Linked DNA regions of Alligator mississippiensis. The main gene of each other region encodes a partner of the protein of the gene in region 3 in a complex. Links are inferred from orthologs where the notes say so. Each region holds a gene or a part of one and is shown on either strand. Other genes may lie near its edges. The genes, in order: PARVA, RSU1 and LIMS1.

What was found.
Region 1: LIMS1 (region 3) and PARVA share a complex: the UniProt entries of both Homo sapiens proteins name them as parts of the heterotrimeric IPP (ILK-PINCH-PARVIN) complex. The link is inferred for Alligator mississippiensis from reciprocal best matches to the Homo sapiens genes LIMS1 and PARVA.
Region 2: the proteins of LIMS1 (region 3) and RSU1 are in contact, whole or in part, in a crystal structure (PDB 7LT9), measured with the Homo sapiens proteins. The link is inferred for Alligator mississippiensis from reciprocal best matches to the Homo sapiens genes LIMS1 and RSU1. Residues at the interface, in NP_001180417.1 of Homo sapiens: Cys252, Phe253, His254, Cys255, Asn256, Leu267, Asn268, Lys269, Ser279, Thr280, Cys281, Asn282, Thr283, Glu293, Phe294, Asp295, Met296, Lys297, Cys303, Lys306, Phe307, Pro308, Glu310, Leu311, Arg314, Leu315, Lys317, Leu318, Ala319; in NP_036557.1 of Homo sapiens: Asp21, Ser23, Asp24, Gln44, Val46, Ser48, His49, Val67, Asn69, Phe71, Asn72, His90, Asn92, Met95, Glu112, Asp115, Thr117, Tyr118, Arg137, Ala138, Tyr140, Ser142, Asp143, Ile161, Ser163, Arg165, Asp166, Glu184, His186, Gln188.

The regions. Positions count from the first base shown.
Region 1 is NC_081825.1:201,149,324-201,159,092, reverse strand, and holds the start of PARVA (alpha-parvin), read right to left. Parts: upstream 3,964-9,769; 5' UTR 3,870-3,963; coding exon 3,734-3,869; intron 1-3,733. UniProt on the Homo sapiens protein: Plays a role in sarcomere organization and in smooth muscle cell contraction. Required for normal development of the embryonic cardiovascular system, and for normal septation of the heart outflow tract.
Region 2 is NC_081828.1:180,987,597-180,997,391, forward strand, and holds the start of RSU1 (ras suppressor protein 1), read right to left. Parts: upstream 4,528-9,795; 5' UTR 4,425-4,527; intron 4,302-4,424; 5' UTR 4,299-4,301; coding exon 4,190-4,298; intron 1-4,189. UniProt on the Homo sapiens protein: Potentially plays a role in the Ras signal transduction pathway. Capable of suppressing v-Ras transformation in vitro.
Region 3 is NC_081824.1:349,549,118-349,559,026, forward strand, and holds the start of LIMS1 (LIM and senescent cell antigen-like-containing domain protein 1), read left to right. Parts: upstream 1-6,190; 5' UTR 6,191-6,338; coding exon 6,339-6,520; intron 6,521-9,909. UniProt on the Homo sapiens protein: Within the IPP (ILK-PINCH-PARVIN) complex, binds to F-actin, promoting F-actin bundling, a process required to generate force for actin cytoskeleton reorganization and subsequent dynamic cell adhesion events such as cell spreading and migration.

The DNA.
Region 1 (9,769 bases), on a different chromosome or scaffold from region 3:
AGACTACAAGCAGTGGTGCCCAACTTATCCAGCCCCACAGGCCAAATAAGTTGTGCAGGGCCAGTTCATGGGCCAGACCAGGTTGGCACACAGGATCAATTTGTGGAAGGATCATGCCCACAGAATGATCCTGTATGCAAGATCCAGGCATGGACTGACGCTGTGCACCAGCCTGATCCAGCACGTGGGGCCATATCATCTGGCCTGAGGCTCCCCAGTCATAGCAGGGCAGCTGGGCAAGGAGCACCACTGGCTGCTGCCATGCCAATCGTGACAGTGAAGTCACCTGTCACTGTGGCAGTGGCTATTTTTCTGTCCCCTCAAAGGCAGAGTTTGGGATTGCTGTTTCCCCCTGCTCCCTAAAGTGATGCTACTGGAACTCCCCACAGCTAGATGACAGCTCCTTGTACTGGATCCAGCCTGTGGGCCATAGGTTGAGCACCACTGATGGAGGTATAACACCACAGCTAGGCTCCTGGGGCAGTTGCAACACATGGGGACAGCAGCAACTTCTGGCTGCTGTTGTGCTTCCAATGCAATGATATGGCTGTGGTGGCACTGTTTTTTTTCTGTTCCACTCCCCTTCACCCCCCTCAAGTCAGCACCTGGGATAGCTGCCCTGGTTGCCACACTCTAGTTATGCTACCGACCTGTGTATGGACCCATGTAATACTTATTTAAAACAGTTTAAATGTAGTTTAAACCTGAAACAGACATTTAAAGCTGCCTGGAATGGCTCAGAAGTGTACCTGGAAAATCAGTGCACCATGTGTTAGTACACTTGTGAACCAGGTGCATCCCATATTACATAATTCCTTACTTCCCTCCCTCCCCCCCCCACTGCAACCGGTCACTCAGCAGCCAGAACTCTACGGTTCCTTTATTTTTCCTTTTGTTGGCACTTCTTATCAATAATCTCCCTTGCACTATTTGTTAAATAAACAGCTTAGTGCGTCCTTACTCCCTGTTTGACTGCAGCCCATCATTATGCCCTTCAAGCCCCTGGGAATGCTAAACATGGGTCCAAGCATTTCCCTCATTCTACCTGGAATGCTAGGGAACTATAGATGCAGACTTCTGAGCAGCAACAATGGTGAACCAGTTCCCAGTTGATAACATTTAGGTATGGTTCAGTTGTTACATCTGCTACTCCAGGGAAGTTTGTCAACTTTCTGAACAAAAGCAGGGTATAAATTACATTGGTATACAAAACTGATGTACATCACGCAACAAAAACCTGTTGTGGGTCCACACCTGCAGCTTAGTGAGAAGACACACTGATGCCACTCACATACATAAAAATAAATTACTTTCTTCAAACCAGATGTTTAACTTTGATGACAACAGAAGCAGCTTGACCACATCTTTGCCATTCTAAGCAATATAACCCACAAATAGTAAATGCCGTATCTTTCAAGTTTGCTGGTACAAGTGTTTAGAAGTAAACAGCTCAATTTCTAACTTCAAGGACACTGATGAAATCTCTTTTACACTCACAATGTTTCGAAAATTTAATGTTTGAACTGAGGGCAAACTCCAGTTCTCAGTCTCGCTTGATTTTAACTAGGCAACAGATTCAGGCATACAATGCTTGTATAATTTTGAACAAGGCTGCTTTATCAAAGTGGGGATAAATATTAGTGAAAATTATCAGCAAAAATATTGGTAAAAAAAGACTACTGTGTACTTGGAATTTGCGCGTCCCTTTGCATAACGACAGTGGTATTCAACTTACTGGCAAAGTTAATTCACAGAGGAGCAGACCTTTCAAGAAGGAAGAACATTACATTCAACAACTGAATCAGATTTTTTTTATATTCAGCCTTTATTAACTGCTCAAGGCTTAGATGCTACATCAACCTCTCCAATCAACCCACCTATGTACTAGGTGTTGCAAAAACTTGCCTGGACAGGATAAGCAGAGGACACAATACCTTGAGCTTTGAAACTTGTTGGGTTTTTTTAAATTAATGCCATAATCTCTTTTTAAAAAATACCCGGGTCATATTCGCACATATTGCAGATCAAGGTACGCGTGCTCCAAGCTCCCTTTTGTATTCACATGTTCCAGCAGGAACTCTGCAGGGCTGGGTCCCATACACCAAGTTAGAGCCTGACAACTGATTCATCTTAAACCAAACATAAGCCCTACACGAATTAACTCACATTCCCCACAAGAATTAACCTGCCAATGCCCATACTGATTCCTAGCATGGAAGGACCAATATGACAACTCGAGCAAATACAGAAATGATGGGGTACATGGCTTTAACGTGCCTGGACAGACCTGCAGATAAGTGATTCTCTTGTGACAGTTAAACCATTTCACACTAGCACAGTAATATCAGGGATCTGCTTGGGTGCTTTATATGAAGCACTTCAGGTCTTTCAGCAAATTGCTGTGAAGACTTCAACAGAGGCCCCCTTCATTCAGTATTACACCCCCCCAGCTCTGGTCCTATAGTCCAAGAAAACAATCGAGCCTAGTGCAAGAGTGATATTGTAGCCATGATGGTTCAGAAATTATGCGAGGCAAGGATTTCTTTGGGCGGTATCTTTTATTGGACCAACTCTGTAGGTGGAATATAGTTAGACAAGCTTTCAAATACAAGACATTCTTCCTCAGGGACCTAAAGAAAGTCCCCAAGCAGATGCTTGATATGGAGCAGTATTACCTTGCTAGTGTGAAATGAACTTCACCTGGTTTAACTATCCCAGGAGAATCACTTACCTGCAGGTCTGTCCAGGCACCTGTTACAGCCGTCTGCCCCATAATTTCCCCATCTACTCTAGTTGTCAGGTGGGTCCTTCCATGGTAGGAATCAGCATGGGCATTGGCAAGTTGTCCCTGAACCACTCCCAGTCTCTCATGTGGTTTCATTGCTGTGTGGAAAATGTTTGGTTTAAGATTGTGATTCCCAGCCTCGGGTCACGACCCAAATAAGGGTTGTGGGGGCAGTGGCGGGGGTGCCTCACACAGAGGATGAGCCACACCTAGTGCCAGGAGCTCCCCTGTCCCCACCCTTGGGCTGCCGCCACCACGCTCTGCTCCCAGCAGCGGGTTACTGCAAAAAAAAGGTTGGGAACCGCTGATTGAAGACGATGCAGTTACCAAGCTCTCACTCTGCGTCAGGGTCCCAGCCCTGCCCAAATCCATCAGGAAGAGGTGACTGCAACGGGAAGCTTGCAGCACTGCAGGGCACCTTGACCTGAGGAAGAGCGTCTGACACCGGAAAACTTGTCTAACTTTAACCCAACTCCACGGCGGGTCCAATAAAAGATCTCACACCAAGAAACCCTTGCCTCCCCCCCTTAACCCTTTCATCACCATCTGCCCCTCTTCTGCCAAGCACCCCTCCCCCACTGTCCCGGAGAGAACCGCGGTTCTAGAACGCCTGGCGGCCCCGCCCCACCCCGCCCCGCCCCGCCGCACGCCCACGTGCTGCTCCGAGGAGCGCCCTGGGCCGCGGTGGGCGCCCTGCCTGCAGGCCGCGCGGGGTGGGGGGTGGAGCCTCCTCGCCCCTGCCCCTGCCCCTGCCCCTGCCCCGGTCGTGGCGATGCGCCTTGCCACGCCCGCCGGAGGGCCCGCAGGCAGCCGCCGAGGAGCCCGCGCGCCCCAGCATTTTTGTGGCGTGACGCGGGGCAACCCGCAGCCCCGCGCCCCGGGGGGCTGCGGGTCACAGCCCGGCGGGGCTGTGCCCCGCCGCCTGTTTTGTTTTTTTGGTTTTTTTACCTTCCTTGGCTTTTTTCCTCCTGGCCAAAGTGCCTCCGAGTTTGCCCAAGAAGGAGTCATCTTTCTTGCGAGAAGGAGGAGACTTGGGCGTGGGGGACTTGGGCGCCGAGGGCGACTTCTGAGGGGACGTTGCCATGAGCGGGGCGCGGGGCGAAACAGCCCGGTCCAGCGCCCGACGTGAGGGGAGGTAGGCCGGGCGCCCAGATGTAGCGAGCGGCTGGCTGCCCTGCTCCAAACGGAAGCGGAATTATTTCAAGCATTTGAGGCAGCTCCTGCTCTCCCTCCTTCCTTCCCTCCCTCCCGCCCGCCCGCCGCCGCCCGGCCACGGAAGGCCGCTGTCGCCGCCGCGCGCGCTGCTCTCTCCGCACCTGCCCCGCAGCCCCTGTCGCCCCCGCTGCCGGGCTGGGCTGGGCGTTAGGCCGGGATTGCTTGTGCCACAGGCGGCTGTCTGGCGCTGGAAGGAGATCTTCGCAGTCCCGAAACAAGATCCCGGATCCTGCCTGATCTACTGCCCCTCTGATCCAGGCAGAAGCCACCCCCAGCCCCCCTGGCCTGTGCTTCTTCGGGCCCTGCCTCAAATTAAACCTGGACTAAAGAGCTGCTCTGTGTTTTCAAGCCTTGATTTTACTGTGGGTTGGCTCTTTCTATAGCTGGACCGTCATTTTTACCCTGCAATTGTTATTTTGCACAGCGCAGTTTGTCACCTTTGATCTCATGAGCCTGGCCCACCAAGTTTCTTACTGGCCTCCCTTGGGCAGCCAGGCTACAGGAAAAGGTGCTGACAGGCTTGGGACAAATCATAATTAAAGAAACGGGGATTGGCATGCTGGTCACAGGTTCAAAAGAAGAGTGCCAAGGGCGCAACACAGAGCAGAGCACACTGGACCAGCCCTCAAGCGAGTCCAAGGAGCCAGCGGACACTGCCCAGTCCACAAATGACTGGTCTAAATTGGCGGCACGATTAACCAGTTACTTGTGGGGTCAGTACTTTGCACTTGTGGCCCATCTTACTTCGCGTGTGCGGCTAGTTTGAATTTATGCCATGATTAAGTAGTGGATTTCACAATATATGTAATGGGTAGGAGGGGCCTTTGTGAAGCTTTTGACCCGTTACAAATAAGAAAGCAACCATGTTCCTCATAACTTAGAGGGGGCTAGGCATTTGTTTCCTAGTGGATCAGACAGTAGTACCACTGGCTTTATAATATGCTGAGGTATACGGTGGTTGGGACAGCAGTGGCAGACTTTCACACCTGGCAGACTTTCAGTAGTCTTGGAATAGAATTTTCTAATAGAAATAGATTACATATAGGGTGTGCAACCCCCTTAGTATCCTCTTTTTACCTAAGTTGTCCAAAGCTGGGCCTAGGCCATAGGTCAGTGACCACTGTAGTGAGGGAAGGTGTAAATAAGCATAAGCGCTGACTTTGGTTTTTGCCGTGGGTGGTTTGGTTTTTTTTGCATTCCCACACCGAGCCCTGCGCACGCCTAGAAGAGACAGCACGTTACAGGCATTGGGCGAGCTGGGTTGAGGTAAAGATCAGGTGCTTATTGGGGCTTTTTGGGGGCTTTTATCTAATAGCTTATTGAATAAGCTTTAGCTAAAATTGCCTAAAAGCCCCGCTGAAGCACCCAATCTTTACAGACACTGCAGAGCCAGGTTGAAGTAATGCACTGCTTCTTCCAGTAAAGTGCAGTTTGGTTGGGTTTTTTAACATCCACAAGCAGCCACAGAGATCTAACATGTAAAACCAAAACAGCTGTGTGGGGCTTGTGGGTGCTGAGAACCTGCCAGTTTTTTTTGATGGGTGCTTGAGCCCCAGAGCACCCATGGAGTCAGCGCCTATATAAAGAAGCACCTGCTTTTCCAGTCCGCATATATAGGGACAAGGTAAAATTGCGGCCCTGTGGTCTTGGCATTGCTAGTAACTTATTTACATTACAAAAGCCATCGGGCTTCTTTGATTTACAGTGGGGACTGGACCAGCATCAAGATTGGCTCAAGATAGATAAAGGCAGCTAAAAGCCAACTGCCCTGGCTCTACATCCCCTCCCACTCCGCACAACTCCAAGCTTCCCAATCCTGCAAGTGCTCTTCAGTCACAATTGAAGATTCTGTTTTATCCCATTTATATTTGTATGCTGCATCCCTTGCTATAGGTTCTGGGCCACAAACTAAAGCCCCAATCTTTCATCCCCATAGAGATACTGAACTTTGCACGTGGGATTAACCTAAATCAATAGAACTACTTGGGTACCAAAACTGAAGCACATGCATACACGTTTGTGGGAACGAAGCTCAGATTAGGAAATTGTGAAACGAATTCTGTCAGTTCGATGAATTTTTCCAGCGTATATGACCAAGGAAGAAGGCAAAGAACACTAAGAGGATACCATCGACTTTTCTTCAGGTTAACATTTAGGTTTCCAAATGTAATCTCAGATAAGCAAAATTCCATCTACCACCACATTTCTGTAGCACCCATCAACATATATGTATATGTGATTACTTTGTAATCGTATGAGAATGACAAGATGGCAATGTACGGGTTAGTAGGAAAGAAAAGAAAAAAAAAAACCTTAGTGACAGGACAAACTTACATGAAAAATGAAACATGTTCCTGGTGAGGAACAACATCGTTTTCCAGTTCTCCTATTAGATTTGCAAACAAGTAGCTTAGAAGAAAAGTATGTCAGAGGCACACAATTTACCATGATTGACAGTTGATTCAGGAGAGGCCCAGGACTGGAACAGCATTAATGTCTTACGGATGTGCTACTTTCACTTACCGTTTAATCACTCGATTAACAATTTAAGCAAAAAGCCACACACACTTCATGCAAATATCTGGCTATCCATTAGGCATAGTAAGTGAAATGAAATTACCATGAGGATATTTCTAAATCAGTTAATAATTGTTGTGTTTTTACAAATCAGTAACAGGTATCTGATGAGAGGGAGGCATCAACAAATATTTACTGTACGTTGTTTGTACATGCTCTAGAGACTAACATTAATCAACCATACAGTGCCATTCTTTTAACAGAAAAGTGGACTAGAAGGCTGGTAGAATACCACATTTCTTTATATTTGCTCTCGCTGCATTTGTCATTTTGAACAGTTACTTGCATGGTCTACAGTTTCACATGCTACTAAATAAACTCTGTATATTTACAAGTTTTATTTATTTACACACTGTTTGGATCAGGTCACCAGCTGCTTTGAACAGATTTTTTTTTTTTAGGAATATAGAAACTTTTTTAAAGGAAGGAGAAACAAATGTCATATCTACCTATTGTATATGCATGCAACTGTGCCATAGGCATTTACAAGTAGAATAGTTTTGTGAAAAGGGATCCATTTATGCCAGGGGCAGGCAATTATTTTGGGTAGAGGGCTGCTTACTGAGTTTTGGCAAGCCATCGAGGGCCACATGACAGGCAGCCCAGGGCAGATAAATATTAATTTTCTAAATTTTTTAGGGGCCCCACGGGCCAGATAGAATGGACTGGTGGGTCACATCTGGCCCCCGGCTGCATTTTGCCCACCCCTGATTTATGCTCACCTGGCTGCATCTGGATGTAAACATAGGATTTTATAAAGATACCAGAGGTGGGATGAGGAGCAAAATTTGGCAAATGCAGGTCACCAGATTCTGTGGCACCCACCGAGGCAGATTTTGCATCCTGCAGTGGATTCTGAAGCGCACATCCCCACAGTAAAGGATATCTTAATGTTTATAAGAAGCCACGCTATAATTGCATACACTCCCAGCTTTTATTGACGTAAATTATTAACCATAAATACAATTACAATAATATGGTGTGGGGTTGTTTTTTTCCCTACAGGTACACACACATTTTTCAGGGGTAGTCATTCATACCACTGTTTTATTGATTTAACCACAGTGTCATATCACTCAGAGTGATTCATGTTAGAATTGCATAAGATGACAACAAAGAAAGATTTTGTCTGAGATGCTTTCCAAAGTAACTCAGAGGGGTAGAATACGTTATATACCTACCATGGTATAGAGCCAATAAGAAAGAGAACTGATGCAGCAGAACTAATAAGACAACCTATAACCTGAAATTATTGATTCATGAGAAAGATCAGCTCTGATGTTACATATGGTTTTTGCTGCTTTCCTGCATTTGTTCAATTGAATTGTCAAACTGTTGAGATGGACTGAGGTCATGCAGTAAATTAGTGACTGATCTTAGATTAGAACTCGGAATCTTTTTTCTAACTAAAATTTTGATTCAAATGTCTTTGGATCAAATACTCTTCTGATTCTTAAGGGTAAGATTGTCAAAAACACTTAGTTTTGGCCTGCAACTGTTCCCTTCCTAACAGTAAACTGGTTGCTGGTTGTGCAATACACTGTGGTAGTGATATGGTCATTGCAAACTTTCACTGTGGTGTTCAGGAAATTAATTGGCTGGGTACAGTATTCCAGACTCAGTTTGATGGACAGATGGAAGTTAAAGTCTTGGTGCAATTTCTCTAAAAATGCCTTCCAGTGTGCCCATATGATAAAGATATCAATGCACCTTAAGTTTTCCAAGGTATACGGGGCCGAGGGGAGCACAGGTGCAGAAGAAGCGAACTTTAAGGTCTGTCATAACCAAGGATCAAGGTTTTCTGTTTCTTGTAGAAACACATGGACTTACCTCTTTAAAAGAGAAAAACACAGATTTTCCACTTTTAAGTGAGAAAACATGGGTTTCCCCTTTTGGAAACAGCTTTCTGCAGGCTGGCAGAGTTCCAGCCTACAACAAGCTGCTTGCAAAAAGGATGCAAACCCTAAGCCCTGTCCAGAGGGGTAGGGGAAGGGGATGGGGCCTAACAATTTGAGACCAGCCAGAGCTGGCTCAGATTCACTTTGCCTCCTGCAGCCTTTCGGGTAAAAAGAGCCTGAGGGGACGGGGCCTGAAGACAGGGGCTGGGGGCCTCCTCCAGTACAGCTGGGGAGGGGCAGGGGGTTGCAAGTGGGAACGTGGGGGCCAGTAATTTTCTGGTTCCCTTGCAGCCCCTGGGCCTGATTTCATATGTTTCAGGGCCCACCGACTGGCCTTGCAAGGAAGGGAATCCTAGTGATAGGGCAGGGCTAGTGGGATAGAGGAGGAGGAGGGGAAGTGGGAGGGAGAAAAAGCAGGGGCCACCCAGGGGGCCAGGTGGGGTCTGACCCAGCCATCAGTTAGCCCCCACCAGATGGGGACCACTGCCACCTGCCCACTCCCCCCATGTGGCCCACTGCAGTCCTCACCCCACTACCCCTATCCTGCTGCTCCTGGCACTCACTGCCCAGATGGTTTCAGATGGTGGTGGCAGGCATGTAAAAGCACTTGGGACCAGTAGTAAATGGGTTGAGCTAGCGCAGTACATCCTGGCAGAGGGGCTCCAGGATCTGCAGCAGGGACAGGTGTCAGTGACCGTGGGTAACATACAGTGGGCAGGGGAGATGGGGGTGGCTAGGTGGCTCTGAATGAGCTTGCAGTTGTCAGGAGCAGCTCCACTCTGATGGTCTGTGCTGCACTGCTCCCGCTGCTGTCATCTGGAACCATTTGAACAGTGAGTGCCTGGGAGCACTGGGGCAGTAGTAGTAGAGTGGGTTGGCAAGTGGCAAGTAGTAGCAGTGGGTTGGCAAGTGGCAACTCACATGGGGGCAGCCGGTGGGCGGCAGTAGTCCCTTCTTGGCAGGGGCTAAAAGGCAGCTGGGACACACCTCACCTGCCCCATAGATGACCCCTGCTGCATCTACCTCCTTTTCTCCTTCCCACCTGCTTTGCCTGCTGCCAGGCTTCCCATGGCTGGGGGATGACAAAACACAGGACTCAGGGGCACTAGCAGGGTGGGGGGGGGGGGACTGTGGCTTGGGAGAGAGGAGCACCAGCATGGGCAGGGGCAAGGCATTAGCATGTCAGGGCTGCTCAGGGCTACACAGCAAGCGTGGGACAGCTGCAGGTGGACCTGCATTCTGGTGCAGAGGACAGGAAGCTGCTGTCGGGAAAGAGCAAGTGGGGGATAGGTAG
Region 2 (9,795 bases), on a different chromosome or scaffold from region 3:
TGGTAAAGGGGTGGCTTGGAGCCATGCATCTAGCCCATAAGGCTGAAGGTGCCCCGAGAGGCAACCATTTTTATGCAGGACCGAAAAGGGGTCCAAGAACCCGCAGGGTCCAGCAAGACCGTGCCAAATGTAAACTTGAGGGCAGCCTCCTTATTCATAATTATTACCAACAAGATGTGGTGGGTGAGAAAGAGGGTGTTCATTGGGCTGAATTGGCAGTCAAGGTGCCCTAGGGGCCCCACAGTCATCCCTGGGGACCCTGTCCTGTGACACTTAGACATGAAAAATTTTCCATAACCACCCCCCCCCCCCCAAGAGCAAAGAAACAGTTTTGTCATATATATTAAGTAGGTGCCAAAATGCTGCTGAAAAATGTGTTTATGGAATACCTGTGCTAAAACTTGCAGCAGTTTCAAAACAAGTAACATACATCAATTCTAGATGAACCAAGTCAATCGGTACAATATGGAAGTAACTACAGCTTTATGTAATTTCAAGGTCAGCATTTCAAATTTGCTCTTCACTTTCACCTGCTCAGGAAAAAAAACAGGGTCTGATAGTAAAGAGTGGAGGGGGCTCGAAAGAGGCTGGAGGGGGAAGAAGCTGGCAGGAAGAAAATTGTGATGGGGCTACCTGACCCTCCAGATTTATTTTCCCTGCTGTAGCAGTGGGAAGGGGACAAATTCAAGGCAAACCTCCAGGAATTAAATTCTTTACCTGGAAAATTATAACAAAATTTATAAAGTTTTCTATATGTGAAATTTTAATTACTAAGGGGCCATCTTACATTCAGGGTTATCTTCTAATCAAGTAAATACAGTAGCTGCATTAACAAGTGGCCAAGTAACTACTTATGATGTGATTAACTGGTTAATCATGTCTTAAATGTAATGTGTACCAAGGGCCTTAAGATACTTTCTCTTATTCTCTACAGATTTTTGGTGCTCAAAACAATGAAGGATATATTTTATCCCTAGTTAATACTGTATCTTCCTAATAATTCAGCACATAAGCTTCAAATATTAAATTGAGAGAAGTTTCCTTCAAGTCCAAAATGAAATATCAGTTTATAAAAGGAGAGATCATTTTCGTAATAGCTTCCACACAAAAATGGGCCTATACTCAAAGGCAAGGTTACTATATAAGCCAAGGGAAGATGCTACAGATGTGTTACTGCCAACGTTTTGATGGAGTAGAATTCTGCTCATTTAGATCTGGGTGATTTGCAACCCATCTCATTCACAGCTGGGTGCTGAATTAGAGGAGCCACTCAAAAGTTTGCTGCTGTTTTTACTTCAAAAGGGTGCCACTTCTCCACTTATATGGAGCTCATCAATGGTCCCATGCAGCTAGTCTGAGAAGAGGAACCCTATGAAATAAAATCCCCATCATATATAGCTGGATCACCTCAAGGGTCCTGTGTCACTATGTGCTACAGCTCTCTAATTTATCAAGTAATTCACAACCTTTATTTTCAAGTGCAATACGGGGAAATAAGATAAGGAACTTAACCCTGCAAAGTATTTGGGTTCTACTGTATAATTCACTTAACCTAGAGCGTTTCTGTAGGAAATTCTCATATTGCCTTACTTTGCAGTGAATTTCCAATGCACTAACTATTCTGCATAAATCCCTTGCCTGGATGCTCTCAACATGTAGCACACTGGTAGTTTACTAGACTTTGAAAATAGGATTGGAGGTGTGGCCTTATCTTTGGAAAGCAACTAAGGTTGCAGGGAAAGGTTTCAGCAGCTAGCTGAGGAAAATACAGATATCAAGTATCCTTATATTATGAAAAGGACCAGGTTAGGAAGTGACCACACAGAGATCCAGAAATGGGTCAACCAGCTCCACTTCCTTACTGATTTACTAGGAAAACATGGAAAGCACTGACCCCTTAGATCAGGGGTGGGCAAAATACAGCATGTCAGGCCATTCTATCCGACCTGTGGGGCCCCTAAAAAAATATTTAGAAAATGAATATTGATCTGTCCTTGGTTCCTGTCAAAAATGACAGAAACGAGGGTCTTAGGACCCAGGGGAAGCCTGGCCCTGCCTCCCCACAGCTGGAAGCACCAGCAGGGCTTCTGACCTGGGACCATGTGGCTGCACCAGCCGGAACCTCAAGTGGGCGGTGGGGGGACCCCAGGCAGGGAAGGAGCTTGGAGGAAAGCGGCCCCTCCCCCACCCTGTGGCCATCGCTCCCTGCTGCAGCCACTCGCAGCCCACATGGGGCTGTCCTGAGTAGGCACAGGCAGCCCCAAGCAGGCTGTGTGTGGCTGCAGAGTACGGCACCGACCATAGGGCAGCCAAAGAGCCGCTTTTCCCCTGCGCTCAGCTCCAGCTTGTAACCCACACCCACTGCCAGCCTGGGCCCCATGCTGGCTCTGGGCTCGCCCGTCAGGGCTGCGCATGTTGGCAGCAGCTGCAGCCCCCACCCTGCTTTTGCTGCACTGGGCAGTGTTTGTTGCTGTTGCCCATCCAGAGCTCACGCGCTGGGCAGCCCACAGGCAGTGGCAAACATTGCCCAGCGCGGCAAGCGGGGGAGTGGGGGGGGGGTGTGCTGCAGCTGCTGCCGCTGTGCGCAGCCCCAACGGGTAAGCCAGGAGCCCAAGCTGGTGCTAAGCATGGGGGAAAAGTGGCCCCTTGCCCGCCTCGCACTACAGCGGCTTGCAGCCTGCATAGGGCTGCCTGTGCCTGCTCAGGACAGCCCTGCCCAGGCAACGAGCAGCTGCAGTGGGGAGCGCCAGCCACAAGGAGGGGCCACTTTTCCCCGTGCTCAGCACCAGCTCCTTCCCTGCTGGCGAGCAGGGGGTGGGGGCTGTGCGCTGCCCCCGGCCTGTACCGTGGGGCTGGGGGGCACTGGGAGCATAAAGGTGCACAGGGCCCACACCGGTGTCCCGGGGCCAACACCAGTGGGCCACAGAGCAGGTCGACAGGAGCTCTCCCTGCTAGTGCAGCCCAGCCTGGCTGCACTGAATTGTTCATAGTAGGACAGGATAACCAATTAGAGACTAACTGGCCTGTCCTACTATGAACAATTCAATTCTGACTTTTAGATCATCTGAACTCTTCTAGTACCAACCAGTGTTAGTGCAAAAGACAGACAGGGAGACCCCTACACCTACAGAGCTTCTTTGCAGAAACACAGCACTGCTGCTACTAATAGCATTGGGCTTACATTGCTCATGGCCCAAGTTATTTTTCTTTAGCACCATGGTTCACAGCAGAAAGCTCAGAAACACCTTTTAACTCCAAAAGCAATGAACTGTAAAGTTGATACAACACATACCCATTACAATGTGTTCATTCAATACATATTACAAAACATAGTGATGAGAAAGCAATGAGCAATTCCCTTTTTATAAGTACAGTAGTTATAAGAAACCTAATGGGCAGTGTAGTTCACCCTAGCAATTCACTAGGTTATGAAATACAGAATCGGGCTCTAACTCAGAACCCAACATGAAGCCTTCCATGATCAAAAAAGATGGCTGGAAGCCTTTGCAGAAACAGAACTACATACTGTACATTTAGATCCTGGTTCAGTACTTGCCAAACTCAGGTCAAGCCCATAAAAGTTGCTCCCATTGAAATCAATGCACCCACTGGAACATTTCCAAACTGAAGTCAGCGATACTGCTCCTATGCTTTGAGTTAAGACAAACAGTTGTACAAGGCAGCCCAAATCAGAGCTGGAGCTTTAACAATGTAGTTTTAACCATGTTTTGGGGACTGCAAATACAAGATGGACCATGCACCAAGCGACTCAAAATCCCGACGCCAAGTGATTCCCGGCACTTCCCTTCACTTTACCAGAAGCCACTGGGTATTTTCTCCAATTTAGGACTGCTATGTCAGACACGTAAAAATACAATTCAATAAGCCAAGAGAAGGGAGCAGTCAGCACAGGACAGGTTGAAGACGTAGATTTTTAAGGGGACTCGTGCACAGGCTTTTACATCGTCCCCGAGTTTGAGCGCGCCAAGTCTCGGACAGATGGAGCAACCTGGGTGTGGGATGGGCCCTGAAGACCAGGAAGGCACTGGCTCAGTGGCTGCAGGGGCCGCGCCTCTGTGGGCTCTTTTTTAAAGGGCACAAAACTTGGGCCTCCCACTGGAACCCGCCCTGGGGGAGGAGGACAGGCCTGGGCCGCCCCGAGGGCCCAGCCGAGCGCGGCGGTACCTACACAGGCCGGGGACGTCCAGCATGTTGGAGACGCCACGGTCGCACAGGTCGAGCTCGGGCTGGCTCTTGTCCCGGCTCTCCTCCACCAGCTTCTTCAGCGACTTGGACATGGCCTGCGGGCGAAGCACACGCGCGTCACGAGACGAGACGAGACGGGACGGGACGGGACGGGACGGGACGGGACGGGACGGCCCGACCCCACAGCCCCTCGCGCGAACGCCCCGCGCTGCACTCACCGGGCTCGGGGGTCACGTCTCGCAACGCTGCCCTAGTGCGATGCACGCCAGGCCCCGCCCCACCCCGCGCATGCGCAGCGGCCCCCACACCCGGGAGTGGCGGCGGAGGCGGCGAACCGCTCCAAGCTCCATATTAGGCGAATCGCTCCAGGCCGGTGCTGCTCCCACTGTCATGGAATGCACCGCTCCCGACTGGCCAATCAGAGCCGCAGCTCCACCTCCGCCCGGCGCCCATTGGCTGGAAAGTTCGGCCCGGGAGCCCAGCTGCCCAATGGCAGCGCCCGGCCAGGGAGCCGGCCCCCGCCCGGAGGGAGGGACCTGCAGATGTCAGCTCGGGCTGGGGGTGGCGTCCCCCGGGCTGGCCCTTGTCCTGCAGTCAGACGGGGTTCTGGGACCAGCGGGATCCCGCTCTGGGCAGAGTCAGCTTCCCCCTGCTGAAAATGCGCCCTAACCACCAACCCGCCTTCATGCTGAGGAGGCTCCTGCCCCTTCCCATGAGAAGGTTTACTGGGCCAGCTCCAGTAAATGGCACTTGCTTTGCCTTTGCACCTCTGCTCTCAGGAGTACTCAGCGGAGGTCCAGGATTTGGAAGAGAGGGGGTGGTGGTGCGGTGCATGGTCACATGTAACAAAACATGCTTTTCTCCGGTTAAAAAGAAACTAGCTTTACTAACAATAGAGCCTGGGGCTATACTATTCAGTTAATACAAAAACAAGTATAATTTTATTAGACTGTGCATTCATTTGCTACATAATAATAGAGATTAAAACCACAACAAACTAGGCAAAAGACACTCAAAAGATGTTGCTTCATCAGTTCTGTTGTTAGAATTAAATCACCTTGCAGATTCATAAAGCAAAATCTAGCCTTCCTGAGCATCTTGGCAGTGCATCCACTGCTTTAGTAAGAGTTATCTCCAAACCTGAGTTAACGTTTTTATCTAGAGTTAAAAACAGACAGCAGGACTGTCAAATAGGAGCTACGTAACCAGGAGCAGCTATGGCAGCAGAATGGCTGAAGAAAGGACAGCTTGATGAGTGGAACATTAATACCATTTAAGAAAAGAGAAAGTTATTAACAGTTGTGGAATGAAGTGATCAGAAGGAATTAGGTAGATTATAGCGAGCCATGAAGTCAAGTGACTCCCTTGCTGCTGCCTTAATAGAAACAAGGCCGCCAGGGCCAGGCAGTTGGTTTGGGTAAAGCAGGAATCAGAAGTGGGTGTGACTGCACCACTGCATCCACCTTGGATCCACCCCAAATATTTTTCTATCATTTTCTCTTTAAAGGCTACAGTTGTTTAGAACAATGGCAACAGCTATTTCGGGGGGAGATTTCAGACAAATTTTCAAGCATGATGTTCTTTTTCTGACACCTGGGAAAGAAGCAGATACAGCCTGAGCTAAATACTTTTGTTTAACCTTATTATGTAAATGACAGGAGTGACTTGCACAGGAAACTTGTGAAATGGAGAGAAATTACAATAGTTGCACATCAGGTAAAGAATGTTTGAGAAAGATGAATGTAATTCTGTAAAATACTATGACCACTCAAAAGTTGAGACCAGCTATTACTTGTGGAGCACAGAGAGGTTAGAGGGACAGGTTAAGTGTGATCAGTCATAAAACCATCACCTATGTTAAGTCTGCAGTTTTGTGTGTCTGGCAAAGTTATGCTATTTTCCTCCCATCTTCTGAAAGGTTTTGCTTAAATTTTCCTTCGGATACTAACTGTTAGGCCAGAGGTGAGGTGGTTATTCTGTTTAAAGTGTCCTCACACTAATGACTTGTTGTTTTTGTCCTTTTTCCATTTCCCTAAACCTTTTTTGGAGGACCTGTGTACCTAAATAAACCCTGTTTCAACATCAAAACACAGCTGCAGGAATTCCTTTTTATTCAAGTATTCAGAGGTTAAAGAACCCAGCACAAACATGTAAGATATGAATTTAGGTGACCAGAACTCTAGTATAATGATTGCGACTTTCACCTGGAGGTTGAAAGTGGAGACCTGAGTTCTAGTTCCTGCTCCAGTAAATACCTAATATAAAATTTGGCTGAGGTCATACCTGGGTCAGCTCTGACCTAACCTGACATCCTAAACACTAGACTAGTGGTTCCTAATCTAGGGGCCACAATCCCATTTGGGCCCATATAAATTCAGTTACTGCACATGGGCTTGGACTGCAAGTGGAGTTGGGTGTCGTCACAAGATGACCTAATTGGGTCATGACCCTGGAAGTGAGTTCACAGCCTCAAAAACACTGGCTTTTGTTTTTAAGATGGCTTGTGTTACATATACAGCATCTAAAACAATGAGAAACTGATTCTCCAGGCAGTAATGCTAAGCAAAATGGAAGTCATCACAACTCACCGCTCCATGTGCGCTGTTAAGAATGTCCTCAAACCTATAGGAAAGGAGAGCGGGCCAAGTTGGAAGCATCCCACACTTAGAGCTAAGTTCCTTTAATGCAACCCCCACTGCAAAATGTTGCCAACCCTTGCTCTAAATGGTTCTGCCAAGAACCCAAAAGGCCATCTCATTGAATTGGACATATCATCTGGGTCCAGTTGAAGCTATTCTGCTTTATAGGAATATTGAAATTGTCAAGTAAGCCAAAGAGAAAGTAACTAAAAATGATTCTGTAGAATGGTGATTAGGATCCAAAAATAAAAATAAAAGTCTTTGATGGTAGAGCAGGCAGATGAATAAAGAATACTTCACAGTCACTGCAAATTGAATGAAGGCTGTGGTGAAATAGAAATAGTTGGCCTCCTAGGTTTCCTTGCTGTCAGATTAAAGATTTCTATCTGCAAAGTATCTTGTGGTTGCTGATATACAACAACATCATGTTAAAAGAAAACACATGCAGGCATTGTCCTTCAACAGCATATCCAATGGCGATGGGAGAGTGGTGACAGGGACAGGAACTATTGATTAATGGAAGTTCCTAGTTACAGACCTGTGTGGAGTCCATGATTGTCATATTGAACTTGGAACTGAGATAGGTGTGCAAACTGGCAGCTCCAGTCTGACTGAGCAGGCCTATACCTGGAACATCCGCACCCTAATGGACAACTCTAACAGCGACCAACTGTAACAAAGGACAGAACTTGTGGTCAGAGAACTTGCACAATTTGATATCGATGTCACCGCTCTTAATGAGACCAGATGTGCAAGGGAGGGGCAGCTTACAGAGCATGGTGATGGCTACACCGTTCTTTTTGAAAAGGAAAAGCCAAAAACACAGACCCCTCTATAGAATTGGTTTTGCTATTAAGACCAAGATTGTTACTCAGATACTGAAATGTCTGGTTGGCATCAATGAGCATCTCATAACCCTTCCTCTTCAATTGACTAACAGACAACATGCAACAGTCATCACTACCTGAGCCCCAGCACTTGATGCAGATGATGAAACAAAAACAAGAATTCTGTTCTAAATTTGACCAAGTCCTGTCATTTGTCCCCAGAAGAGAGACAATAATTTTTGATGATTTCAATGCTAAAGTGAGGATGGACTCTGAGCAATGGAAAGGAACACTTGGAAAGGAAGTCAATTCAAATGTAATTCTTCTCCTGAGCTAGTTTTAGGAACATACTCTCATCATCACAATCTCCTTATTCCACTAAAGCAACAGATGAAAGACATTATGAATGCACCCTAGCTCAGAACACTGACACCTGATTGACTACGTCATAGAGTGTGCCCAGAACTGTCACAAGGTCCGTATCACCAGAACTATGACCAAAACAGATGACTGCTGAGATGGATCATTATTTGATACACTTTCATGTCCATATCACCCCAAAATGACATGAACCAAAGAAAAGGTTCACTATTGAGTGCTTGAAAGACCTTTCAAAGAGCAATCATCTTCAGCAGTGCCTCAGCGAGAAACTATCCAACCTCCCTGATCATCTTCATGCCATCAATCACTGGAAGAGCCTCAAGAAAGGTATCCATGAAACATGCAAAGAATCTTTAGGCTTCTCCACAAAGGAACATCAGGACTGGTTTGATGAGAATACAAGCTGTCATTGACAGAAAAAAAGCAAGTTTTTGAAGCTTGGTGAAATGACATGAACTCCACACAGAAGCAAGACCTTTATTGCCACACTAGCCAACTGTCCATCAGGAATGGGGGGCAGGCAGGGACAGAGTGCTGCCACCCACCACCCCACTCCACCACCGCCTCCCAGGAGCCGGTGGGGAGGAAGCTTGCCCCACCGTCCTCTCTGTCCTCCTTGGCCAGCACCCCATGCCACCACCACCTCCAGGGAGCAGGGGGTACAGGACCAAGGCCTGCCCCCCGCCACTCCATTTCCTCTGTTCCCTCTGCCCCCACCATCATGGCGGCGCTCTGCTGTGCCACCACCACCTCCTGTCCAGAACACTTTTGGAGTACTCTGATTGGTTGTTTCAGTCAGCATTGTGATTGGCTGCCAAGACAACAAATCAGAGTGTGAATAAAGCATTATGGACAGACAGACTAAGGCTTTTATTATATTAGAATTAAAGCTGAGACCAAATAAAAATTCAAGAGTGAAAGAACAAGTGGTGGGAGGACAAAGCAAAAGAGATGCAAAAGTTTACCCCAAACCATGGTCAGCATAGTTTCTTCAGCACAATCAAAGCTATCTATCAGCCAAGCAGACAAAGCCATCTCTCTCAGGTCTAAGGATGGAACAATGCTCTTTAAAGACAACTCCACCATAAATGCAGAGTGAAAGAAGCACTTTCAAGAGCTTCTGAATTGAGATTCTAATTCCTTGACTGTACCATTGAAGCCATTTCCCAACATCTCTGTCCCAGGGGGATGAAAAGAGAGGGGCAGAAACCCCTCTCCCCTAATCAGGGTCATGGTGGGGATAGCCCACCGCAACCTCAAGGAAACAGCGCCTTGAGCAGGGTGTATTTGCTTTTTTCAGAGGCAGCAAGTGAGGGCAAGCTGCAGAGGAACAAGCCTCCTGCATGGTTCATCAGTCATTTTACTATATGGCTGGAACCAGCGCAGGAGGATGACAACATCAGAAGATGCCGCCCAGGCATGATAAAAGCCAGTAGTAGGGAAAGGGCAGGGAGAACTCAGCAGAGAGGAGGCTGTGAGTCCCTCACTCTGGCAGGCCCTTGGGCTGACCAGGAACCCTCCTGTTCCTGAGGGGAAAGGCCAGGGGTCCATTCCCCAATGAAGGAGCACTCAGCACTGGGCCCAGGGAGTGAGCTGAGACCTGGGATCACACCAAGGGATGACTGGCACCTTCAGATGCAGGACGCATGAATAGGGAGGAGGCCCCAGGCCCTTCCTGAAGTTTAAGTTTGAACTTTCTTTTGTCTTCATATTGATGCCCTGTAGGCTGGGAGAAAAGGCCA
Region 3 (9,909 bases):
GGCAACATTATTTCACTGTGGTGCAATTAGGCTGCCAATGGCAGCTGTTAATGCTGAAAACCTAGTTTGGAGATGTGACTGTTCTGCACATCTATTTGTGGAATAAAGCAAAACGTTCAGCAGGACTTGCTGCTGCCCGCAGAGCTTTCTCTATAAAAGTCTCCCTATTTTCTTGGGCAAATGCCAAAATGTTCAGCCTGGTTTTAAAGAATCCACTCAGGAGGGGTTTAGGAGCTTTGCAGTAGTAATTCTTCATGTACCAGCCAGCTGGCAAAGAAGCACACACTTTCTATTAAAAGCTGCTTTAATTAACATTAGTAATACGCTACTACCCACCTTTCATAATGTTATAGTTGGGGTTGTATCCAGTTCATTGTGAACCTGCATTTTCAAAAGGTTAATTTCAGTTCTTTCCTGTTTCTTACCATATCAAATGTAGGTGCCTCGTCTTAAACTTTAAAGCACCAATAAACTGATCCTCCACCTGTATCACTGCTGTAATGTCACCGCTCCCCCTGCCTGATACCTTCCCCTTTCCCCTTCTTAACTCTCTGTTATGTCCTTACCCAGTTCTTAGTGTTATCCTTTCTGATGCCCTCCCTCAGCACCAGGAATAATATTCCTATTTTTTTAAAGAATTTGAAGGAAAACTACCAGTTCCTTTTCCCTTTTTCACATCCTTAGTTATCTCTTCAGTTGTTGCCCTATGAATCCTTGATCCATTTTTTCTTACTCAGTTTGCGAACAGGGGAGACACCCCCTGCATTGCTCCTAGGAGACTGCTGTAAATCAGAGGAGTCTGTGAAACTGCTGATTGAAGCTTGGGCCATTTCAGCCCCTGCAGTAGTCTACACAGTCTGTAATCCCAGGGATACATGAATGGTTCATAGTCACCTCTGCCTCCTTCCCTTTTGTACTGTGACAAGCAGGGTAACCTGTCTCTTTGTTTGCAATGTAAACTACTGTGTAATCTTCTCTATCGTGTGTTAGAGTAGTAATACAAGCTTATTTGGGTTTGCAAATTAAAATGTTTCGTGCCGCTCTGCCCATCTGACTCCCACCGTCTTCAGAAGGAATTGTGGAGCAAAGTTTGTGTTCCCTCAAATTCTCAGCATGCAGGGCAGGGCCTGTGTTAATCTCCTAGCTGGTTTTAGTGATAAGACTACAAATGTAAAATAAACGCAGGGAGCTTCTGCTAGAACTCTAGCTAGACTTACAGCTACATGTCTGTTGATTTTACTGGATTTGTTCCTGAATACCAGAGGAAGAGAGAACGGAATCTGGGCCAAGAGGTTTTCAACTGTTTTACATGTGAGGCACCTCTCACTGGACTCAAGGCACCCCTCCGTACCTTTTATGAATTGAATGACACCTCATTTAAAAAACGCATTTATTTTATCACAGGGCTTCCCTTCTTGCAGTGAGGCTGGGTAGCTGGGCAAGGGGAGCAGCTAGACCCAGAGAGCTTGAGCTTGCTCTTACCTGCCTTATTTTCTGGGCTGGGGCACATTGATTGAGCATCACTGTGATTGAACATCACTGGCCTAGAGCTTTCACAGTTGAACACTCAGAGCTTACCTGCCAGAAAGCCATTTTGTTACTGAATGAAGAGGCCTAGGAACTGTAAAAGCATCTAGCATACAAAATGCATCTGACAGCTGGCCAGTTATTCCTTTATAATACAAGCTTGCTGCGCCTTCTGTTCCACTTGAAGATGTGCCTCTGTTATCCATTTGTTTATAACAGTGGAAAGGGAAAATGAGGGCCATGCATCGCTCTCCTCCCCAGATAGGAAAGGGGAAATTCAGGGAGGGGCAGAATGAAGAGACACGTAGGAGCCATTGGTATGAGGAGGGATTGGCTTTTGGGGTCCCACAGGCATACAGGGGGATGGGAAAGTAGCATACAGAGGGCTTCGTGGGCAAGAAAAATAGAGGGAAACAAAGGAATCTTGGCATTTCCAATGAGCTTAGCCTGTAGAAACAACAGGTGTTTATTCTAGTCCATAGGTTGGCAAGCTTTTCAGAGCATCAGGCTGAAATAACACAGCTCAGTTCCAGAAAGGCCAGCACTTCCAAACCAGCCGCCACTGCTACTTTTCTCCACCTCTAAAATGCTTCTGATATCCAGGCTTTACTCTGTGTTAAAACATTTAAATGGGAGGTGCCTTACCAGTACAAATACAGTTTGGCCCTTTTTGTGTGCTTTTGTTTGCACCTTGAACTTATTCCCCTGGATGAATGCTTTACAATCCAGGAGGATTTTTTAAATTCATAAACTGGGAAACTGTAAACCCTAATGGTGCCCAATGGGCACCATGTTAAGACTGTGCGGGCCGGGAGCAGTCCGAGGCCCTTTTTATTCGCGCGGCGGGCTGTGGCCAGCAGCCCGGACACGCCGGGTCGGGGAAGGCAGGTGGCACGCTAGAATTAGGCACAGACGCTTAATGGTTGATTTAAGATTGTTTACTTACACTGTAGATGGTCGTGGTGCAGGCTGGAAAACTTCCAGGAAAACTTCGCTTAAGTCCCAGTTTAAGGACTCGGACAGAGCTCTGGATTCACTCACACGAAGTTTGCTAGGCTCCGTGGAACTTGTGCGCACAGGGAAGGGTATGTCAAGGGATTAGGCGGCGACGGGGAGAGGCGAGAGGCTGATCAGACCCCTATAGCCTTCTTGAAATACACGCTGGGTCCAATAGGCTCCGCAGCGCTTAGAGATCTTCACGAGACGTGAAGTCTCCTCCTCCTGATGTTCGTGGAGTCCTCCAACTTGGGCGGAAACCACTCAAGCCTCTTATATGGCTAGCAAGCCAATCGCTAGCCACCACGTAGGAATAATTTAGAACTGACCAATAGTGGGGCACGAATTTGAATACAAATGGCGGGAACTCCTTGCAACGTGCATTTCTGTGTTGCAACCCTGCAAAGAAAGCTACAAGTGGCGGGAAATAATTCAGCAGTGCCGAAGCACACACAAACAAAAATCACACCCTTGGGTTGTGACAAAGACTACTTCTTGATGCACGCTAGCCCTGGGTTAATGATACAGTATCATGATGAAGCTTCTTTGCCTTCTTAGTTCCACAGGAAGGGCAGGATTAATCAATAAAAGAGTGGCACTAAGGCTTAGTAGAGGAACAGTGTGTGTCAAGATGGCACTAGGACCCTGCTCCCATCATCGCAGTTTCTGTCTGAAGCCACAGGGAGAGGGTTCAGCCTTCACTTGTCCCTACTGCCAAATGCTGCCAAAGCCGCATGTCTGCAGCTTTTGATTGCAGACTCCTGCTCTAACAGATTAAAGTACTTGTAAATGTTCCACAGAAACAGCTACAGATTTTGTCTCCTGTCCATGCACCTGCCACATATTTTGTTTCAAGATTACACTGTGGGGGCGTGGGAACGGGGGAGGAAAAATGTTTGATTCAGACATCATTATATGAAGTACAGGTGGTGCTAAGTCCTGTCTCCATTATACTGGTAAAGTGTCTTTTAAGTACTTTAAAAAAAATCTCACCTCCTTAATTAGTGACAGGTAGCACGTCAGGTTCAGTTTGTGTCTACATGACAGCAATTCTGGCATCAAAGCCATGTTGGAGTGTGTGACCCAGTGCTTCTGCTGAGCCATATGCTAAAGGCATGTCCTGTGACACCCCAGGCTGCAATCCAGTGAGTTTTTAGTCTGTGGCTAGAATGCCTGTAGGACCTGCCCACAGAAAACTGCAAGCTGCACATGGGGGAAGCATGCTCCAGAGCGTCATACAGCCAAGAGAAAGTGGATGTAGGACAGGCGCAAACCAGTTGCACAACATCTCTGTTTGTCCCTTACAGCAAAAACACAGCTTGGTGGCAGAAAAACAGCCAAGTGTCAGACTAGGCCTCTGCTTAGGGTGTCTTGCTGCCATTTTTAACCATACTCAATGTTGCCTCGAACATTATTTAGAGTCAGCCAGCTGTGCCGATGTTATTTTCAACATGGTCAAAAATTGTAGTACAAACAGGGCCTTTCCTTTTTTTTAAAGCCACTGGCATTTCCTAAGAAACAGAAGCTTTATTGGAGTTCCCTTAATATTGTCAGTTTTCTGTGTTTGCGAGCTCAAGTGTTCGTTCCTAGTTAGTCTCTCCCTGATCTCTGCCCTGGCTTTCTCATGCTACACAGTAACAAGCATAGATACCAAAACCACTCCTGTCGACAATGTAACCTGTGCGTGGCTTTACTGTGCATTTTTAACCAGTTGCTAATGAGAGTCTGTTGATTGTGACACATCACTTAGTTACTTGGGCTATCCATTTCAGTTTGAAAGTCCAAAGCTGTTAGAGGTTGGGCCTGTCATCTGTGTCACAGGTATCAGATTTTAACCAGCTAGAGTATGGCAAGAGAGCATAGTTACTGGCTGCCAGTCCTGACTTTATCTGACCTTCCTATGGAACCGAAAGATGCATAATCTCCTGGGGTGAGATAACTACTCTAAGAGGCCTGCCATTGGTAGAACATGGAAAATGATATTGTTTTTAAGAAGAATGTAGCATTAAAATAATATGAAAAAATGGTGTCATTCAGCATCAGGAATTGTCATCCATGTGATAACAGGATGGTTTTCTCTCTTCTCTTCCCTTTTCAGATTTCCAATCTGTATAGGACTTTTTCTATGAGTACAGTGCTGCAAGCACAGCCTGGTAACTGAAAATCAAGTTTGTTATCACTGTTTCTTACATAGTTAACTACACCTTTCTTGGCAATTCTGTTAATGAAAGGAAAATGGAAAAAAAACCCTCTACTTTTCTAGGAAGAAAATTGTTATGGGATCAGAATAATATGGTTGGTAGGAACCACTAAGAAGTCATTTAATCCAGCAATTGGTAGCCTTTTTGTGGTGACAGGCTGGAATAACCTCCACACACTCTACCTAGCTGCAATGCAACATAGCATGAATGAGGCCCTCCTGCTCCATGAATACCACTAGAGTCCTCTTGGATCTATAGGCTCTGCAGAGTAGACTGTAGGTTACCATATCCATTGGCTACAGCCCAGAGACTATAGGATACCAACCCCTGATCTTGGACAGCCCTTTCTGATCAAGGAAGACTCATGACTATTTAAACCAGAGGTGTCAAAGTGATCAGGCTCCATGGGCTGGATGAGTGGCACAGGACCAGTGCATAGGCCAGGTGAATAACTCAGGGCCAGCCCTGCAGGCCAAATGAGTCCCATGCCCTTCCTCACATGCTAGATACAGCAGCTGCTCCAGCCAGTCTGGGATGTGGATCACACACAGCATATGTCCCAAACCGGTTGTGCAGCACAGTCCTAGAGCAAGCGCCACGGCTATTAGATTTGGTGTGTGGCGGGCGGAGGGGTCCTGAACTGGCTGTGTGCGGGTGCTGCTTGTAGTGCAGGTCTCAGAGTGGTCTGCACATGCAATGCATGTCCTACACTGGCTGGAGCAGGCATCGCATTTGGCATGTCTTGGGCCCTACGCATGGGGCCAGTCCAGTGCACACCTCACGTGGTTCAACTCGAGACTCAGGGGCAGGGGCCAGCTGTTGGACCCCATGGGCCATACCTTTGATACCTCGGTTTAAACCATTTTAGCCAAGTGTTTGCCTAACTCTCAGTTAAAAATGTGTGGTGATGAAGGAGATTCCACAACCTCTTTAGGTAGTTTGTTCTAGTGATTAACCACCCTCTTAGTGAGAGAGTTCATCCATCTAAATTTCCCTTGCTGCAGTTTAAGTCCTTGTTGATCTATAATCTCAGACTACTTAACTAAGAATGACTCGTTAGTAGTGCAAAAGGCTATTTTTACAATTTAGTTTGCCAGAAGTTTAAAAACAATCTTCATCTAGTGACAAAATATTTCTTGTATGTTTTTCAGTGTTAGTGTTTTCATGATAAAGTAGCATTGTGGTCATTTTTTTTCTACCTAGTACTTTTTTCCTCTAGTAACTTGATGAGCTTGACAATGAATGTGTTCACTTGCACAGGTTTACTCATAAAATAGCTCTTCTGTGCCTGACTAGAATTCTTCTATCGGCAATAGATAGTGAAGCCCTGATGTACTGTCCAAGTTTGTATTACAACCTTGTAATGGAATGTGTTCCTCAGCTTCCAATGACCCCTTAGTAAATAGCAGCATGACGTTCTAGCTGCTCTGCCGCTGAGCTCTTAACGTGAAGCTCTACCAGAGTGCTCGACAAGCCGAGCTAACTGACATGACACTGTGAAAATAAATCACTTCCCTGGGAACAAGGAGGATTCCTGCGTATTGTTTCTCTGGATTTTTGTCTGCAGCTTCCTTTTGAGTATTACAGTGGATTTTTCATAATAGTTAACGAAGGATGGAATTCCAAAGCAGAGCTCGCTCCTATCTGATTCCAGAGACTGAAGACGCTCCACACAAGGTCCCTCAGGATGCCTACAATATCAGAGGAAATGAAGGCGAAAAACCAGTGTCAAAATTACAGCGTAGGCACAGTGAAATAAAAGTATACAAAGAGTTTTGTGACTTTTACGCAAGATCGTAAGTTCACTTGCTCAGCATTTGGATGTTATTTGACAGATCACCTTTTAACATCTGTAGTTGTCTTTACTCGTTTTATTTTGTATAGAATAGGATTGATCCATTCTCTAGTGCAATTCCACTTGTTGTGATTGATTAATTGGTAGTTTTCATCCCCACGTGATTTTTTTAATGAACTATTTTGCACTTGCAAATCAAATTATGTGTGTGAGACTTGGATATTAGTTTGTACAAATTTTGGGGGAAAAGGTACAAATGATCTTACTGGTACCATAACTTTCTATTTATTACATTTTGGTGGATAATTATTGATTACCATAACAAATAGTAAGCTTATGTTGCCATTAGGAAATTTTGACATTTCTCAAAGTAAAGTGAATTAAGTATTTGAGAGTTCTGCAGGGAGAAAAGAAAGCTTTGAGGGCGAGGAGTTTTTTGTTTGTTTGTTTGTTTCTGGGTTTTTTTGGTTTTGCTAAAAGCTATGCTTTTCGAAGTTTCTTCACCAACTACTTCTGGTTAGATAGTACTTTGTATCCAAGAAATGCTTGAAGTTAAATTCTAAGGTACAATATCTGTTCACCTTTTCTATGCAAAAGCTGTTGAGCTATAGAAAAGGTTGCAAGTTATACTGTGTTCAATATTCACACCAAATCTGGACACTTTTTCAGTAGATAGGGTGTGAAATAACCTGTTTCCCTTTGAAAAAGCACAATAGTTTTGACAGAAGTAGTTTATGAAGAGAGGCAGTTAGCAATACAGCTAGACATTCTTTACGTTTCTTATTTGTGCGTGCGTGCATGCGTGCACACACATGTACATTTGCTTGAAACCCTGTGAGAAATGGAATACTCTTGATCTGATACTCTTGAGGTTTATGTGGAAAATGCAGCTACTGTCACCCTCTTCTGAAAAGAGTTGTAGAATAGAAAAACCAGCAGATTACTAATAACCAGGCAAGTGCTGTTTTAAGCAGGGCTTGCTATTTTTCTGTGGTGTAGTGTTAGGTAGTAGTTCTCAGCTTCAGGACCGAACACAGGCATGGGCGAACCGGGCAGCTGCCCAGGGCCCAGACAAATAGGGGGCTTGAAAATGGTCATTTTTTTATTAATAGTATCATTATCTCTGGCGAAGCGGGGCCTGATACTAAAAGTTCGTGTGGGGCCACCAGGAGTCTATGTACGGTGCTGCTCAACTTCTTCAGATTTGAGGCACCCCTCATTAGACAGCACCCCTCAGAAAATGTTGGTTTTTACTAGTTTTGTGACTATAAAAAATACTAGAGCAATTATTCTGTTGCAAAGAACTCAAAACGACCACAGCAGGATAGAAGGTTTCTGACACGATTGATTCCTATTTGAAATCACTGGTTTTATCTTATGAATCATGTTGGAGCACCTAACAGTGCTAATATCACCCTTTAAAAGATCTCTCAGTTTCCTTGTTGAGACTTACTGGTATAAAGAATATAGTTCCTCAGTTTGGAACCATTTAATAAGAACTGTGTTAATTATTGTTGGCACTCCCTCAATTCAAGGATGATCTCTGCCAAGGCTCATTGATGGGTCTTGAGGTGATTTAGGAGTCTAGTCCTTGAATCACAGATCTGTTCACAATCTGTGTTAATGTAATACCATGAACCGACGCAAGTTTTGTACAGAGGAAGTCAGTTGGAGTTGAGGACACTAATACCTGTAAAGTAATACTCAGCATCCAGCCTTTTTGGCAGGCATGCCACAAATTGGCCCTGTGCTGTCCCTGAGTGTGCCTACATGAGGCATTTACTGTAAAGCTGACCAATTAATTCTGCAGTAAATGTCTCTGTGTCTCGACATGCACCCCTGTTAGGATGCAGGAAACTAATATAAACTCTGCAGCAGAGTATTTACAAGTCCTACCCTGCAGCAGTTTTTTGTGCACAGCTGCACATGTGTAGACTCAGACCCAACTGCCTAGGGCATGAGGGTGCTTCAGTGCAGAGGCTGTCTGCTGGCTTGCCCCACACTGGAGCACACTTGTGCCCTATCCAGCCCCTGTGCAACACATTGAGCCTGGTCAGAGCAGCTCCAGGCTGGCAGGCTGACCCCCCTGACTCCCTGCCAGCCGAGGCTGCTCAGACCTGGCTCGGTATGCTGCAGTTTGGGCACGCATCTAAACCACGTGCCAGGGAGCTTCCCAGGAGCAATAAACTTGGAAGCAAAAAACTGCCGAGTTTATTGCTCATGTGTAGATGTACCCCTCTGAGTGCCATTCTAATCCCCATGCTCTGCCTGGTCTGGTGCTCTGTTTTCTGCTCCCTACCTTGTACTTTGCCCAGTCTCCAGCTCTGCTTTCTGTGACTGTGCTGCTTCTCCTCTCCCTGATCTGCCATGAGCCATACACACAGGCCGCCTGTGGCACTTGTGCTGCAGGTTGGCAACCCTTGTTATAGAGGATGTTGCTCTCCCTTTATATGGATGCAACATGACTTCCTGTCAAACACAGAAATCATCTTTTTACTTACTGAAGAATAGAAACAGTTTCTCTTATAAAAATACCTCAGTCAATCATCTTACCAGAAAATTCACATCCCTTAAATGGGTTTTATCTATACTCTATAACTGTTCTGCAAGTGGTTTGCCAAATATTCTTAAATTGATCATTTGCCCTGTATTTGCTCCCCACATAAAGGTACAGGTAGAGAGCTCTGCCTCAAAGACTTTTGTGAATTTAGGTGTAAGCAGGGAAACAGCGTAAAGTCCGAGGGCTTAAAAAAATTAGAGCCAGGTCCCCCAGTTGACAGATATGGAGCAATGCTGATTTATTGCAGTTGAATATTCAAACCTAAAGAGTGAGTTTGGTTTCTGATTTTTGCAGATGTTGCATTAACATTTTATTACAAATGCCTAGGAACCCAGAAGTACCTAGGTTATTTACGTGGGTGGTTTTCAAGTCTCTGATTCAGATTCCATGTAGCTGGAATTATTTTGCAAAATTAATATTTCTTAAGAGCACTCTTCTGTGCATTGGTTATTTCTGCCACAGAAGCTAAGTACTATGAATTCCACTCCTGTGCATTGATGCCCTAGATACTTTGTACTGGTTTTACATGCATTTTAGAGCAATATTCTTGGTTTCATCTCACAGAGGAAAACCAATTTTAAATTAGTGATAAGCTGGGCTCTTGTTTTGCATAACCATTATAATTTTATTTTCATCTTCTGTCTTGTTACAGAAAACTTTACCTGTTTTTTCCCTTCACACAAATCTGCAAATATGCTATTACTAAAGGGCTTGGACGGGGGATGGATTTAAATGACATTTTACTATTTTCTGTCTGTAGAACTGTCTCGGCTCCCATTGAAGTCAATGTATAAAGAGTTAGTTAGCTGTACTAGTCTGAAATCAGGCAC